Lepisosteus oculatus: one gene and its partner. The protein of the gene in region 2 purifies or fractionates together with the protein of the main gene of each other region. This does not show direct contact. Links are inferred from orthologs where the notes say so. Each region holds a gene or a part of one and is shown on either strand. Other genes may lie near its edges.

Region 1 (7,738 bases), on a different chromosome or scaffold from region 2:
ACTTCTAAAGGGTAACCATTCAGTTCAAATAGCATTAACTGCAAAATGAGGCAAATAATTGTGCTTGAAACTTTGTCACATAAAGACCACCTGAAATCAAGCTCAATTACACATACTAAAAGATGTGATTCACTCAAGATTTGTTTTCAATACAAAAAAGGCTAGGACTTTTTGAATGCCTGTTTAAAATTGACAGGAACTTTTTTTTTTACACCAGATCCAATTAATATCAATATCTCAGTTTTCAAAAGTCTGGTCAGCTAGGCACTTAACTGTTGCTTTTGTGGTATAAAGAATCCTAGTGTATAAAAGAACACGCATTTCCTCTTGAGCTTTCAAACTTGAAAGAGGCAGTGCAGTACCTACCACTTCTGAAAACAGGAGGGAGGGAATTTTGCGTAGGATGTGGAGAGTACAGAAGAATGCCTGCAGTTATCGACGGATCAGTTTCAGAACATTTTAACTTGCTCGTTATATGAAAAAAGTGGGGGAAAAACGTTTAGGGAAGAAAACCATTTTCCTTATACAACTACAAACCCACCACCCAAAACTTAGAAAAGAGATACATTACAGACATTCATTTTATATACTTTATTTACACGGTCCTTAAATATAATCGATTAGTTTCTGAAATCTTCAGAAAACCAACATAAAAAATTATATATTTATTACAAATGGTAAACATAAGTCCTCAAAATTTAATCTTATTTACAAATAACAATGGGTTAAACCCCATTAAGCAACATAAAACAAATTTACAAAGGCTTGAAGCTTTTTGTATTGAAAGTACGTGAGTTGCCATAAAAGTAACGAAAAAAAAACCTTGCGTACATAACCCAAACTTCAGGCAACTTTTTTCAAAAGTATTCAGCCTTCTTTCATCACAGTACACGCCTTTCCATGGCGTTACATACAGGCAACCTACTGTTTCTATTGCAGTGTATTTTGTTTTACTTAAATCTTTTAATACTGAATGATCTTCGAAGGTAAGGTCCATGCAAAACTTGGTCAACGTGGTCTCTCTCTTTTCGTTCTTTCAGGGAAAAAAGCATGAAACAGAACATTTACAAAGCTGTGCTGTTTGTGGCCTTGTCTTTTGCTACCGACAAACTCAGCTTCTGAAGTTTCGGACTTCAGTCAAGTCGGAACTCCTGTGCGCGCGGGGCTCAGGCAGTCAGGCAGCCTCCTTCCTCTCAGTCTCTCGTCTTTCTCTCAGTCCGTTTCTTTCTCTCACTGCTGCATACTAACTGACCGCTGCTATAGCTCGTATAGCCTTTTAAGTTTCGTCCTTGATTTCTCTGCAATTAGTCTTTAACTCGCTCGCGCGTTCTCCTTCAGAAGGTTTGCAGCTGCTGTGTCAACATGAGCTGGCACCCGCTGTTGACATGATTCATGACCTTCTGTTTCAGCTGGGCCACTTGCTCCCGGAGCATGTTCGCGGTGGAGGCCAGTTCAGAGTTCTGAGATTTGAGCGTCTTCACTTTTTCCTCCAGCCTGGAAATCCTCTCTAGCTTCCTCTTCCGGCACTTAGAAGCAGCGATCCTGTTCCTCATGCGCTTTCTCTCGGCCTTGATCCTCTCCTGGCTCTCCATGTCTATGGGGGAGAGGGGAGGGGTCTCGCCGGGCATCTCGGGTACAGTCTGCGGCTCCTCTTTCAAAGCTTGGAGCCGCGGGTGCTGAACTGGCAACTGCGAGTTCATGGGGTGCTGGTGCGGCGGAGGTGGGTAGCTCATGTTTGTGTTGGCATTGCTGTAGCTGGGCGCCGCTGCGGTGCTCATGGTGGGATTGAACGTGCTGAGGTCGGCGTACACGGGCGGATCGGAACGCATGCTGGAATTGAAAACTGTATTACCAGCCATAGAGGAAACAGGTGCCATCGCGTTGTTAATGTTGCTCTGCGGTGCCGAGGTGACACTGGGCACACCGGGCATGTTCTGGTGGTGCAACTCAGCCAGTGCCCTGACGAAACCTTCGGCGAACCCTTCTTGCTCGTCCGTGACATTTTTCGGGCACAGGAACTGTGTCGGAGTCGGGGTTGTGGTGATGAGACCGTTGCTGGACTGAATGATAAGCCGCTCCAACTCCGGGGAGGCTAATTTGAGCAGTCCGACATCCGGAGACGTCAGGATGTCATTGGCTTTTGCCCGCAGGTGAGGTTTGAGAGAGACCGTTGGATCTGAGAGATTCAGGGTCATGTTTTGTTTCAGGGCTTTAGGGTTATATCCGTAGCCGGTTGTTTCGTGCTGAGAGAAGGTAGCATTCAGCGAGTCATCGTAGAAAGTAGGTTCCATCTTGGTAGACATAGAAGTTTGACCAAACCTCAGTTCAAATATTTTTCACACAGGAGACAAAAAAGTTTCCCTTGTTTTACCTGTAGTTATTGAAAGTCCACCTCGGTCAAAGTTCGACTTGTCAGTCCTCCTCGACTTTTCAGCAATGAAAAAAAGTCTGTTCTTTATAGAAGAAAGCCCTTTTTTCTTCAGTTTCAAAGTTGTTGTAGAAGTACTTGTCCAGTGTAGCCCGTCTTTAACGTCTGTTGCTACTCGGGGGTTTGTCAGCTTCTTCGAACTTGGATGTTTAAGTTGAACTCCCCAAAGCCCAGTCAAATGGGGAAAAAAGTTTTCTTCCTTATTAGCGACACTTCTCTGAGTCAGCTTGCTCAATGACACGCACAGTCTCGGGGTGTAACTGAAGCAGTGTCTGTTAAAAGTGCCTTTTGTGGTACTCTTCAGTTGTCTTCTGAAGAAACGTGTTAAGTGCTGAAGTTGCTAGGGGGCTTATACACCTCTTTAGACTTGGGTGTTGAACTCTGCTAAAGTCTGTATACTCTGAGCTGTTCCAGCGTGGAGGCAAACCTTATCTGCTGGTACTGCCTCACTAAAAATAGCAATGATGTAATGCGTGAAGTTTCTTATTGGCTGCAGGCAATACACTGGGCGTGCCCTTATTTTCAGATAAGGTGCGTTGCCTAGACGACCACCCAGAAGATTCTACTTCTCGCGGTGGCTGATGGGATGAGGTAATTCGAAGTACTGTGCATTATGGGATTACGTATTGTTTTTGAATATCTGGTTACCCGCTTAGTTACACAGACAGCGGTTAGATATATTTAATTGTTAAAGGAATATCATTTTCGTTTTGTTTTTTAAATGTATTAATTTTTTAGTTTTTACGATAATTATTGGTGTATGATTAAAACACAATTTTTATGTTAAAGCTGGTAAAACGTACTTGAAAGTTTAAATCTTGGGACATATATGCATTTTACCTGTATCTCTGTTTAATGACACTTTATTATTGGGAATAGACCTAATAAGGGCTGAAGATGGTGCAAGGTACGACACACTACCAAGAGTAGACGGATTAAAACTATTAAATACTAAAATACGATTATTTTACAAATTCAGTACAGCTGTTGATGCAGCAATGGAATCACATGTGAAAATAATACACTTTTGAGAAACCATTTGTCAAACTTTGTTTTGGCTTGTAAAAACAATGTTAATTTAAATAAAACATGTTAAAGTAAGAACACACTACATCATAATATGAATGATTAATTTTAAACCTTGATAAATAATTGATCTCACCAGTGGAATTATAAATGTTTTGCGAGTCTGTTTGTATTACATGCAGGGACATGTCTCGGTTAGGTTTAGCGCGCTGGTCACAACGGGGTCAATCGATGGATTAGGTCGTCTGTTGTGATATTGACATGATACACGTCCAGTTGTCCGAGCGTCGCCCGCCAATCGAATTAAAGCAGGAGGCGGGTTTAAGGTAAAGTTACAGCAGGGGTCTCTCAAACGTCTGTGGGACTTAGCATAAGGGGTGCTCTCTAAACTACAAAATTCATCCAAACACGGGAAGACAACTTTTTTATTAAAATATTTTCAGTTTTTACTAGGTACAGGTAGTGACTCACATGTTTTTCTATACCATGAAAACACAAAGGTGTAGACTTTACTTCGCTGTACATTTTTCCTACTTTGTGGATAGTAACAATGTTGGGTATACCGTTATGTAAGGTGTTTTCAAGCCTTGGACTCCAGTACTAATACTTCCTGCTTTTTTAGCTTTAGTAGGATTGTTAAAATGCAACTGTTTTAGCGAATATCAGTTTAATGATTAATTGTTTAGGTTAGGACGGGCAGCATCTTGTTCTCTTATCCTAATTTGTCTTGTTTTAAAGACACCAATTAGAGAAATGTCGTTTCAAATTTAACAATATTATAAAGCTTCAAAATGTTGTTTGTGCTAACGCATGTGTGTTACCCTTTGAAGAAAGCAGTTGCTTACTATTCCATATTGTGCTGAATCGTCTGTGATACAAAGAGTACAAAACGCGTATTCTGTTCTATTCTGTTCTTATTCTGTTGAAAACGATTATCCCAGTACTGTACCTCTGTCTAGTTCATTCTTGTGCCATTTATCAAATACTTCTGTCGTCTTGTATTTCTTCTTTAAAGATGTTTGCGTTCAGAGTTTAAATACCTTTAAAGGTTGATATAACTGACACGTTGCTTAAGGTACTTTGTCCAAGTTTTGAATGTCCTGGGACACTTATCGAAAAAAGCACATAGCAAATGAATGTTCATTTGTGTACTCAAGTATGGAGTAATTTTTGAAAGAAAAGTTTACATTGTCGTATATTTATATGTATAGTATGCGTTTGTTATATTTCGTCGTTGTTATACTGCGTCTAATTGTCATAAACGGTTGTAGTATTTACATTTATTTTAACTAATCGCTGATGCACACTACGTAACACCCGATATAAATAAATCGTAAGTGAAAAATTAAGATTATATATACAGAAATAACCTGATACTTTCATTTAATGAAATAACCATCAGAAGTAGTGCTTTTTCTGTTTAGGTGTGATGAAAAGACTTAATAAATACGAAAGGTGAAGCTCTCACAGCACACATACAGTAAATGGCATATACACTATGTTATGTATGCCTATTCCATCGCGAGTTTATCCGACTGAAGTTTTTATATATTTACTTTATAAATCATTCATAGACATCTGCGGATATGTGGAGATTTTGTACAAACACTGTTGTTCAGCCTCTTAGATGTAAGTCTCCGCCCCACCACACACAGCCGGGAGGTTTATCAGAGGAAATAGAATAATTATCTGCTTTAATATGGTTTTGTATCTCGGTAAAGACTCTCCGGATTCAAATGAAAGTGTTTTGATCTAGAGAAAGGTTACAGAGAGGCATACGGTTTGAATAAAATAGGTTCATATCAATAATTTTAAAAATCTGTTTTTAAATAATCGGAGGTAATCAGAAGTGGATATATATATATAAAAAAAACCGAAAAGTAATTTCCTCATGCCCAAACAATACATACAGTAGTTGCTTAACGATAGGGATCTCGTAGAAGTACTTGTTCGGCTACTCTTGCCTTTGCGTTTTTATTTTTACTGTGTTTTTTGAGCATGTCCCTAATAAGTTTCACATTGTTGCAACAGCCCGAGCTCGGTCTCTGTACATCACGTAAACATGACACTGCACTTGGTCGATACGCTTGAGTATATCTGGAAATGGTAATGAAAGGATACCGCGTTTTAAAATTCACTTGTCCCCCCCTCCCCGGTTTTTTGTTGCTGTAACACAGCGATCGCAAAGTTCGTCAAGAAGAGAGCAGCGTTTTACCCGAACTGTGGAAAATAGATTTCTAGATTAATATGTATATACATTTAGAGAAATCTCAGACACCTTTAACTGTAGAAAACGTTTTAATATAGACGCCAAAGAACACAAAAGAAATGCAAATTACGAAAATAAAATACATATAATGGGTTAAAAAAATGATCGCAGGTTTTCAGAGTGTAAAGGGACTGCTTGTGCTAGTGGTTGAATACAAGGGCGCGTTCGTGAATTATTTTTTTTAAAGAACAATTCAGAAACTCAGCACTGCGCATATTAAATTCCAGAGTCTGGGTCCTTCCATTATCCGTAATCGATTTGTCCTTTCAAGGTAGGCTACCCCTACTCAGTCGTTCGCAGGAAATGCACATACACATTCTCTTGAACACGCACACGGTGTAATGTCAGAGATGACAGTTAACTAGGACAGCGTGGTTTTGGACCAGAGAAAACCCACAGACTCGGGGGTCAAGCAGCACAGAAGCTGAGCTGCGCTAACCCCCCACGCCACTGTGCCATCCGGCTGCGTTTATTTAGTGGTCTAAATTACTACTCCGGGTTTTAACTGTCTCTAATCGTTTACAAGGTTGTATTCTGGCTCACGGACACGCAAGAAATAAATGAGACATGGCGATACAATAATATAGGAGAAAGCGTTTCTTTGTTTCTGTCTTTTTAACAGATTTGCTTCTAAAAGAGTTTTTTGCTCATGACATTTGAACTTCACAATGATGAACAATTTAAAATGTATTTTCCTCTTATTTGAAAGCTCATTTTACTGCTGGGACCTCTCCCAAAATCATATGAGCTCCACTAGTAAACCTTTCAGTGGATAATAAATAACAGCCTGGCCATCCAGTATTTATCAAACTAAGAGCCTGACTGAGAGAGCTATTACATGAATAAAATATTAGCAATCTTGCACTCTTTGAGCTTACTACAATGCATAACAAGTAGCATTAACTAAGGTGGCTTTCCATGATTGATGGAAAGTATTAGTACTTGTCTATAATTGGATCCATTCTTAATGTCTTTGTTGATGTCTCCCATGTCTTGTTACATTGCTGCTGAGATCTCCATGTTTGTGATATGTTCTGTAGCTTCCATTTATACAAGTGAATAGAAATATCTAACATTTCTACTGCAAGTAATATTGAACTACAGAGGAAAACTGAAGCATAGAAGGCTTTCTTATAGTTAGAACAACACCACAAACATCCTGGAGTTTTATGGTAAAAATCTTGCAAAGATTTGATGGTTAATGTAACAAGGAAAACAGGAGTGTACAATGTGGAAAAGGTTACTTCAGCAGCAGTATAGATATTATGTTATTCTGATATTCTGTGCAAAAGTAAAATTAATACCTAATACCTTAACATGGTTCTATAAATGCCTAATTTAATTGATTACATTTTACTCATTACTCATAAACTTTTCTGATAAACTGTTTTGCCTTTGCATACGCATAAATTCTGCATTATGTGAAATCTGTCAGTCTGGTCAACACACAGAGTTTCACTTTCTCAACATTGATGTGTTGAAAAGCTTTATTGTGTGACAAACCCTACAATCTTTCATTTTCTAAGTAATATGTCCTTGCTTGTGAAGTAATAACATGTACTGCTGTTTTGTACTCAGTTTGTTTCCAGTTGTGTAATGCTTAAACAGAGCTTAGACAAGACCTGTTATTTTTGAACACAGGAGAAGTGGCTACACACAAGCCACCTTTCTTGCAAAGAACGAGCAGTTTAAACTTTCAAGATAAGATAATGAAAGAACCACACATTCCACAAGGCTTTCTTTGTTTGTTCTTCATTTAGTTCTGAAATGTTGCTCTTTTGCAGACAAATATTTACTGTTTACAGAATATGAGCAACAAACACCCAATAAGTTTTCCTTTTAATATAATAAAGTGCTCTTCTCAAAACATGGCATTGTGTCATCTGACTTTATTAATTTGATATACTTTTGTTTTTCACCTTTGGTTGATTTTTATATCTCTTAAATTGATTCTAGGAACAGAACTATGGTGCATTAAATCTTTTTCATTATCTGCATTTTTGTGTTTATGAGTA
Region 2 (7,285 bases):
TGTATGATCCTTTGTACTCCAGCCACTTGCTCCAGTGTGTCGATATTCTGAGTATAGTTTCGAAGAAGCTTCCCCTGCTTATCCAACATTGCAATGAACTTATGACATGGCGACGGCTGGAACTGTCCTGGATAGATCTCCTGAGAGAGCAGAACACACTGTAAGTAACCCAAAAACTCCGCCCTTGATAGAGAATGTAAGATGTTTCAAATAATTTTAGAACATTTTACACACCCCAAAAATGGAGACCATTTCTTCTTATACTTTTAATCATCTCCTGTTCAAAATGTAGTGATTTTGGTGCATGTACATGTTAATATGCAATTTCCCAAAAAAGTAAGCAAAAAATGCTTTGGATGTAAAATATTTATTCATAACACAAGTCACAGTCACTCTGGCATGTTTAATAATGACGGCAGCGATCTGTGACATAGGCAAGGCGCTCTTACATTTAAATGAACAAACCTTGGCAAACTTAAAGAAGGGTCGCGGATCTCTCCTGAAGTATTCTATGTCAAACATCGCCTGAGGATCAGGAAGATCGGGGAAGTCAATCGCAAGCCGCGCGTAAATGCCATCACGGGATCTAAAGTCAGGTATTCCACAGGACACCGAGACCTGCAGTCAGAAAGAAATGTTTACAGCTCTTTTCACATTTCATAAAATCCAACACTAAATTACTTATTTCAAAAGACCCATGTAATGATGTTAAAGAAAGATATATCTAGGTTTACTGAAAACACCCTCAAGATTCCATTAGAAGGAAAAATCCTGTTGGTGTCCGCTCCTTCTGCGCATACAATAATTTTAAATACCTAGATTTTCTCATTTTTTCCCCAATTACAGCATTTCCTCTTATTATTCCATTAAATTCAATGAAGGAGGAGATTCAGCTCCCAGCTACAAAGAATTTCTGCTCAGCTTTTAGTTATTTAACCAAATTTTAACATCCAACAATCCTAAAACAGTGCACCATTTTAAGCTCATGATGTAGGTTTTGGAGTAAGTCCGTGTGATATTAAGAGTTACTGAGAGGCATATAGGATTATAAAAAGCTTTACACAATATGCTTTTCCAGTAACATTTGCCTGAATTTGCTATGTGCTATACAGTTATGTCTACATTATTTTTGAAACGATGTACTCCGCTGTAGCTCTTAAGACAAACACAGCCTTTCTAGTATTTCTTCAGTGACATTTCTAATAATTACATACCCCAGCTCCGGTCAAAACTATAATCTTTTTACATTCTTGCAGTAACCTGACCACATCTTCCATGGTGTTGATGTCTTTGCGTTTCTTTCTTTTTGGAGGCTCCGATATGTTGATTATTATTTGCCACAGTGTCATATCATCCAGATCAGGAGGAAGAACAGTTTCTGGGAGAAGGTCTTTTAAAATCGTTCGAGGGTCTGTTTCTCTCATAATGTGTTGCTGAATAAAACTGTAGGAGCCTGAAACAAAACATATTTGACTTGAATCAATTTTTCAGTTGACACAATCTTAATATCTCTTAAACCTATTAAATTAATTTCCAAAAGCAGTCTTCCACTTCAGCAATACTTCAACTGGAATCTCATATTCAAAAAAAAATTAAATGCAACTGTCATTTTTGTCTGCAAGAATGAAATTTAAAACCCATACACAAACTCTTGTCTTCTGAATAAAACTACAATGTCTGCGTTACTGACACAACTGTTTATTACTATTTTAAAAGCCATACCTATCTGGGGCTGAGGTGTCCAGTCACTAGAACTTGCGTGCGAAGATCTGTCATCATCGTCATCGCAATCGTAGGAATGGAATCCATTGGGCAGAATCTCATCATTGAGATCAATGTACTCTGTCAGCAAAAACAAAAGTAAGAAAACTGAATCACGGCTCTGTCTTGACCTAACTGAGTTTGTACAAATCAGTTAATCACAAAATAATGGAAACATCTTCAACGCCATGTCTGAAAAATTGAAAGACTGACAAGGAAATCTGCAGATTTTTTTTTACAAATTATATATGCACAGGAAAGAGGTGTGACTGATTCTGGTGTTTTTTTTTAATTGATTGTAGAGTTTATAATAAAGCGCCAAGTAGACGGGTATAATTCGATGTGAAATTGTATGAGGAAATCACGATTATTCGGTAAAGAATCCAGCGTCTATATAAACCGTTATTTAATTACTTTAATAACCTTATACTATGCACCCCAGACGCACTGGTACTTTCCTGCAAGTAAATCGTAAGAAAACCTTCTTGCCATACTCTTGATATGTGCACGTTCTGATCATTGCATTAGTTAATTTTCTGTACAAAACTGCGATGCCCACTTCAGAAATACATGGCCCTATATTAATCCTTAAAGTTATACACGAAAAATGCTACGTTAAATTTTACTCTCAATTTTAAATCACGAATATTATATTAAATGTATGTTCAATATAGACTATGCAGAATTTTAAGTTTTCGGAGTTTTTTGTACATGGCGGGTAAATAGGTACGCTTGGTGCAGAATGGTTACCCTTGCACGGCATTTATGTTGCACTTTTTTATTATGTAATTTTTATCCACCGGTAGAGTTGTGAAAAGTTCTACAGACTGTATTAGACTGTCCACGTTAATTCAAGTGGACCAGACAGGAGTGAGCAGCGATCGCGGAGAACTCCGTACCTGGTCGCTCTGCAGCAGAACCGCCGACCGGATCATTCTCTCCCTCCTCCCCCAGCCCCTCCTGCAGCTCCAAGCCCAGAAGCCCATTGTCTCCTCCTGGTGCAGCCGAGGCCTGTCCCACCGTCACCACCTCCTCCAACCCCGGCCGCTGTGTCGTCGCCGCCGCCGCCGACACCGCTGCAGCTGCTGGTGCTACGGCAGCCGCCGCCCCAGTCTCGCCGGCCCCGATCCCACTCTCCTGATCGATCTGAGCGGCCTTATCCCCGTAACTAAACGCCAATCCCACCTTCGGCTTTTTAGGCAGAGGTTCATCTGTTTCGAAGCCACTGGCGCTGGAGTTTAGGAGGATATTCTCTCCGTCCGCCATCTTTAGCTCACTCGGGCTCCTCGCCGCTCAGACTCGACCATAGAAATCTTCCGTGCACGACAGCTGATGGGAGATTTAAACGGACCACGTGACTCGATCTCTTCCAGCGGTGGCCCACGCGACACCGCTACCAGCCGATGACGTCAACCACAACAAACGATGTCATGTGACTAGAGTGGAGCCAGGGGCGGAACGACGCGACTGCGCAGGCGCCTTCGGGGCTGACAAAGAATGTAGTACCGTGGCTGTATCTAACGGATAACGCCTTGCTTCATCACAAGACTTTTCTCTATCTATACGTCTCTCTATAATCCATCATACTAATAACCATTGCAACTTTATTCTATGATTCATCTCGGCCATCAAACCAAATTTAAGTTTAAGCGTTATGTATCTGCCTGAAAGGCACAGGCGTTGTTGGCAAATGGCTTCCGTTATTTTATAGGCTCGGAGGCGAGCAAGTATGGAAAGCAGGGATGACTGTGTCTCTGATATTTATTGAATTAAAGATGTATATCACATTTAATCATGATAAAGGACGTTGCTTATTGCTTAATCTTTTTCGGTTAGATGATGATAGGTGCTATAAAGGGTTTTGTGCACCGATATCGGCTCTAAAACATACATACTGGTGTTAAACAGTGATTGCTAGATGCGAGATTTTGAATCACACTCTACGGTACTTTTGCCTGATATACGGAATGTAAACTAAAAGACCTAACTTAAAATTTACGAAGCGGGATAATAGACATACTAACAGGTTCTAGGTACAACGCAGGAGATGTACTGGACATCTCGACTACATATCCCAAATTGCATTGTGTAATGTAAGTCAAAGCCCCTTCAGTGTGTATTTTCTCCTCCCACCGTCGCTGGTCCAATAAACTCTGGATCAAAATGCTCAAAAGCATCAGCTGACCGTTGCGTGAAAGAACTGGAATGATTTTTTTTTTATTTTCTGAGTCATAAGATAGGCTACATTTAGCAGGTTTAAGGTAAAGTTGTTTCATTGCTCATATTTGAAGCAATTGGTACTGAACTACGCGTATCTTGATTAGTGTTGGTAAACCTTACCTGTCTTCAGATGGACGCGATTTTGAACTGCAAACCTGAAGATCTGGAAGACTACTACGGTTTGCTTGGATGCGATGAACTGTCTTCGGTAAGCTTTAAATCAGCTAAAATGAAGTGTTGAATTGGTTTACTGCTTTCCCTGTTTTAAGTCAATAACTTCTACTAACGTTGCCATTTTGCAGACCCATCTTCAGTTTAAAAGTTTATTGAATGGCGATAGAGAAACTAATTTAAACACTAAACATCTGTGTAGATGTTTAAAATGTTTTTTTTTCTTCACGTCTTTTTCTGGTGGTACTGTAGCAATTGGATAAAGGAGAGAGACACTTCTTTTTTTAATAGATAAACTTCATTGTGTTATTGAACATATCCATCGGTGTGAAGGATATACAACGTGCATCGAAATAGCACCCGTTGGTTTTCTTTAAATCCCTTCAATGGAAAACCAGTGTTTGTGTCATTGTATTGTAAGCTAACAGGAAGTGGAGAAGATGTTTAGTTATTTTGATTGATGACAGTAAGTGGAAATGTAGACTTTTGCAAGCGATTGTACCTGTTTTAATTGGTACTTGTTGAAAATATTCTAAAATACGCCTTCTTTGCCTAAGTATCATTTACATGGAACAGAAAAGAATGAACAACCCTGCCATTTTTATAGATTTCTGGGGGTAATGCTGCCGTTTTATTGTAATATTATTTATGATGATGTATTGGTGATCTGCTCAAGCTTTGGGATTCCTGAAATTGATGTTTTTAAACGACAAAAGTTATATTGGAGTACACAGTTTCACTGTTTGCTAATTTCTGGAGAGGAAAAAAAACTAAGAAAGTCTTACTGAGGATGTTCTGCCCATGATTAATTTAAATCCATGTTGTTAATTAAAACTAGAAGTGAAAGTAATTATTTATATTTAACTACACTCTGTTAGTATTGATTACTGGCTGTTAGGGTGAGATGATATAAATGTCCTTGCTAATTTCTTCACGCACTACATGCTGTCACAAACTACATATTTCAGTGTAAAATAACTCTGTAAATTAAACGATAAAATACATTGAGATCCACAAATGTTTGATGACCAGCTTACCTGTGAAGACCCAAACAACAGCTGTCCAGACTACAAGAGTTCATTTGCCAAGATATTTACTGTATCTAACCTCCCTCCCTCCACAGTAAAACAGACAAATGGGAAGTCACAATGTCAGCAGTGGTGAATTAAATGCCCAGTCATCCTTGTCAATCGATTAAGGTCCCATTCTGAGACCTGGAGTGGTGTTCTGCAGCTTGAATGTTCAGAGTGCAGCTGGTGTGCAGCTTCTGCATGATTGAAGATGTCCCACACAGCTGTCTATCAGCACTTTCACCAAGCCTCTCAGCTATCGGCTTGTGATTACAGATGTAGCATCATGAGTTCCAGAAGCTTCTAGTCATGATTAGGCATGAAGCCAGCTACAGTACACAGTGGCTGTCTAGCACATGGATGAGATGGGTGTGTTTTTTGGACACTGTAATTACAATGGGTTTAATGTTTCACAGTTTCTTTGTCTCTGTGAATAGTCTTACAGTGTAAGAATAGACTAATGCATAGATGCTGCACAAAAAACAATGTGATAAGTACTGCAGTCACAAGTGATCAGGAAATGGAATGTATTATCAGTAGTAGTAGTGAGCTAGGACTACCCTAGACAACCTTCTGGAAATGCCAAAGATCTTAAGTAAATCTAGAGATGTTATTAGTACGGAAAATAATATATTCAGTACATTATTCCGCATCTATATGTGTTTTCACTGAAAAGGTCATGCAAATCATTTAGTTTTAATTTTGTCTTTTGGGTATTTATTGAGTTTGAACAGCACTCCTCAGCATCTACTGTACTCTGCTCACGCCACACAAACAGCAGCCTTAAGGTGCCCTAAACCGTAGTCTGTCTCATCACAATATGTGTGGATTTTTCAGTCTACCAAACCCATCTATGTTCTGGACACTTGCAGATCAGCTTCCCTGACACCTATGCACAACTCTAATCTGAGAAAACTGAGGGCTGTTCAGCTCTTAACGTCATTTCATGTCTGTTGACGTTCAACAAAACACATTCTGCTCATGGTTCCCTGGATTTCTTTCATTTACTCAAGGTCACTGCCGCTTCTTCAAACCTTATGTAACATAGGCAGGAAAAAGTGTGATAATGTCATTAGAGTTCTCTAATTTGCATATCACCAGCGAAATAAACACCATTTTCCACCCTTTATGGGTATGCATACAAATTATATAATTCAGGACCATTCAAGCATTTTGCAGATATGACGTGCACAACGTTGGCTTTGCACACAATGAAGATTGTTCTCCGTTTAGATTCACCAGAGTGCTTGTTTCCACTCTTCTTCAAAGCAAGCAGTTTTCTCATAGATAATCCTTTCAGGTGCAAATCAATGGAAAACATTTCTGATAAGACTCTGAGACAAGAAAGGAAGTAGATTGTATGTATGAGAGAAGCTAGAAGGACGCAAACTGACGTGTTTACTTGTGTCTCTGGTTTGATGTCATTCCTTTTATGCATAGATGTTGCACGTGAACTCCAATTTGTAAAGAAGCACAAATATGGTATTTTTTTTGCTGTGTTGCCAAAACAGGACCAATTGATTCTTCCCAAGGTATTGTAATCGGAATTGCAGAACTGACTTAAGATTATACATTTTGTTAGGAAATGTTTCAGTTAAACCAGTTGCATAAAATGAAATAAAAATATAGCTATTTATTAGTTTCATAGGACAAGAAGAAAGCAAGCTTAGTCAAGAAATGGAGCAAAGACTGACAATAGTGAATTATAATAATAATAATTGCTTACACTTATATAGCGCTTTTCTGGACACTCCCCTCAAAGCGCTTTACAGGTAATGGGGACTCCCCTCCACCACCACCAATGTGCAGCATCCACCTGGATGATGCGACGGCAGCCATAGTGCGCCAGAACGCTCACCACACATTAGCTATCAGTGGGGAGGAGAGCAGAGTAATGTAGCCAATTCATAGAGGGGGATTATAAGGAGGCCATGATTAGTAAGGGCCAATTGGAAATTTGGCCAGGACACCGGGGTTACACCCCTACTCTTTTCGAGAAGCGCCCTGGGATTTTTTAATGACCACAGAGAGTCAGGACCTCGGTTTTACGTCTCATCCGAAGG

What was found. The genes of interacting proteins can lie anywhere in the genome.
Region 1: the proteins of sirt1 (region 2) and jun purify together in Homo sapiens (affinity purification with mass spectrometry; 4 studies listed by BioGRID and IntAct, with this or other methods). This does not show direct contact. The link is inferred for Lepisosteus oculatus from reciprocal best matches to the Homo sapiens genes SIRT1 and JUN.

Annotation. Positions count from the first base shown.
Region 1 is NC_090704.1:17,935,049-17,942,786, forward strand, and holds jun (transcription factor Jun), read right to left. Parts: upstream 2,856-7,738; 5' UTR 2,304-2,855; coding exon 1,335-2,303; 3' UTR 577-1,334; downstream 1-576. UniProt on the Homo sapiens protein: Transcription factor that recognizes and binds to the AP-1 consensus motif 5'-TGA[GC]TCA-3'.
Region 2 is NC_090699.1:33,370,070-33,377,354, reverse strand, and holds the start of sirt1 (NAD-dependent protein deacetylase sirtuin-1), read right to left. Parts: upstream 3,028-7,285; coding exon 2,661-3,027; intron 1,843-2,660; coding exon 1,723-1,842; intron 1,454-1,722; coding exon 1,215-1,453; intron 619-1,214; coding exon 466-618; intron 161-465; coding exon of another isoform or gene 141-160; coding exon 1-140. Other genes in the region: dnajc12 (dnaJ homolog subfamily C member 12), read left to right, coding at 107-160, 4,112-4,189. UniProt on the Homo sapiens protein: NAD-dependent protein deacetylase that links transcriptional regulation directly to intracellular energetics and participates in the coordination of several separated cellular functions such as cell cycle, response to DNA damage, metabolism, apoptosis and autophagy.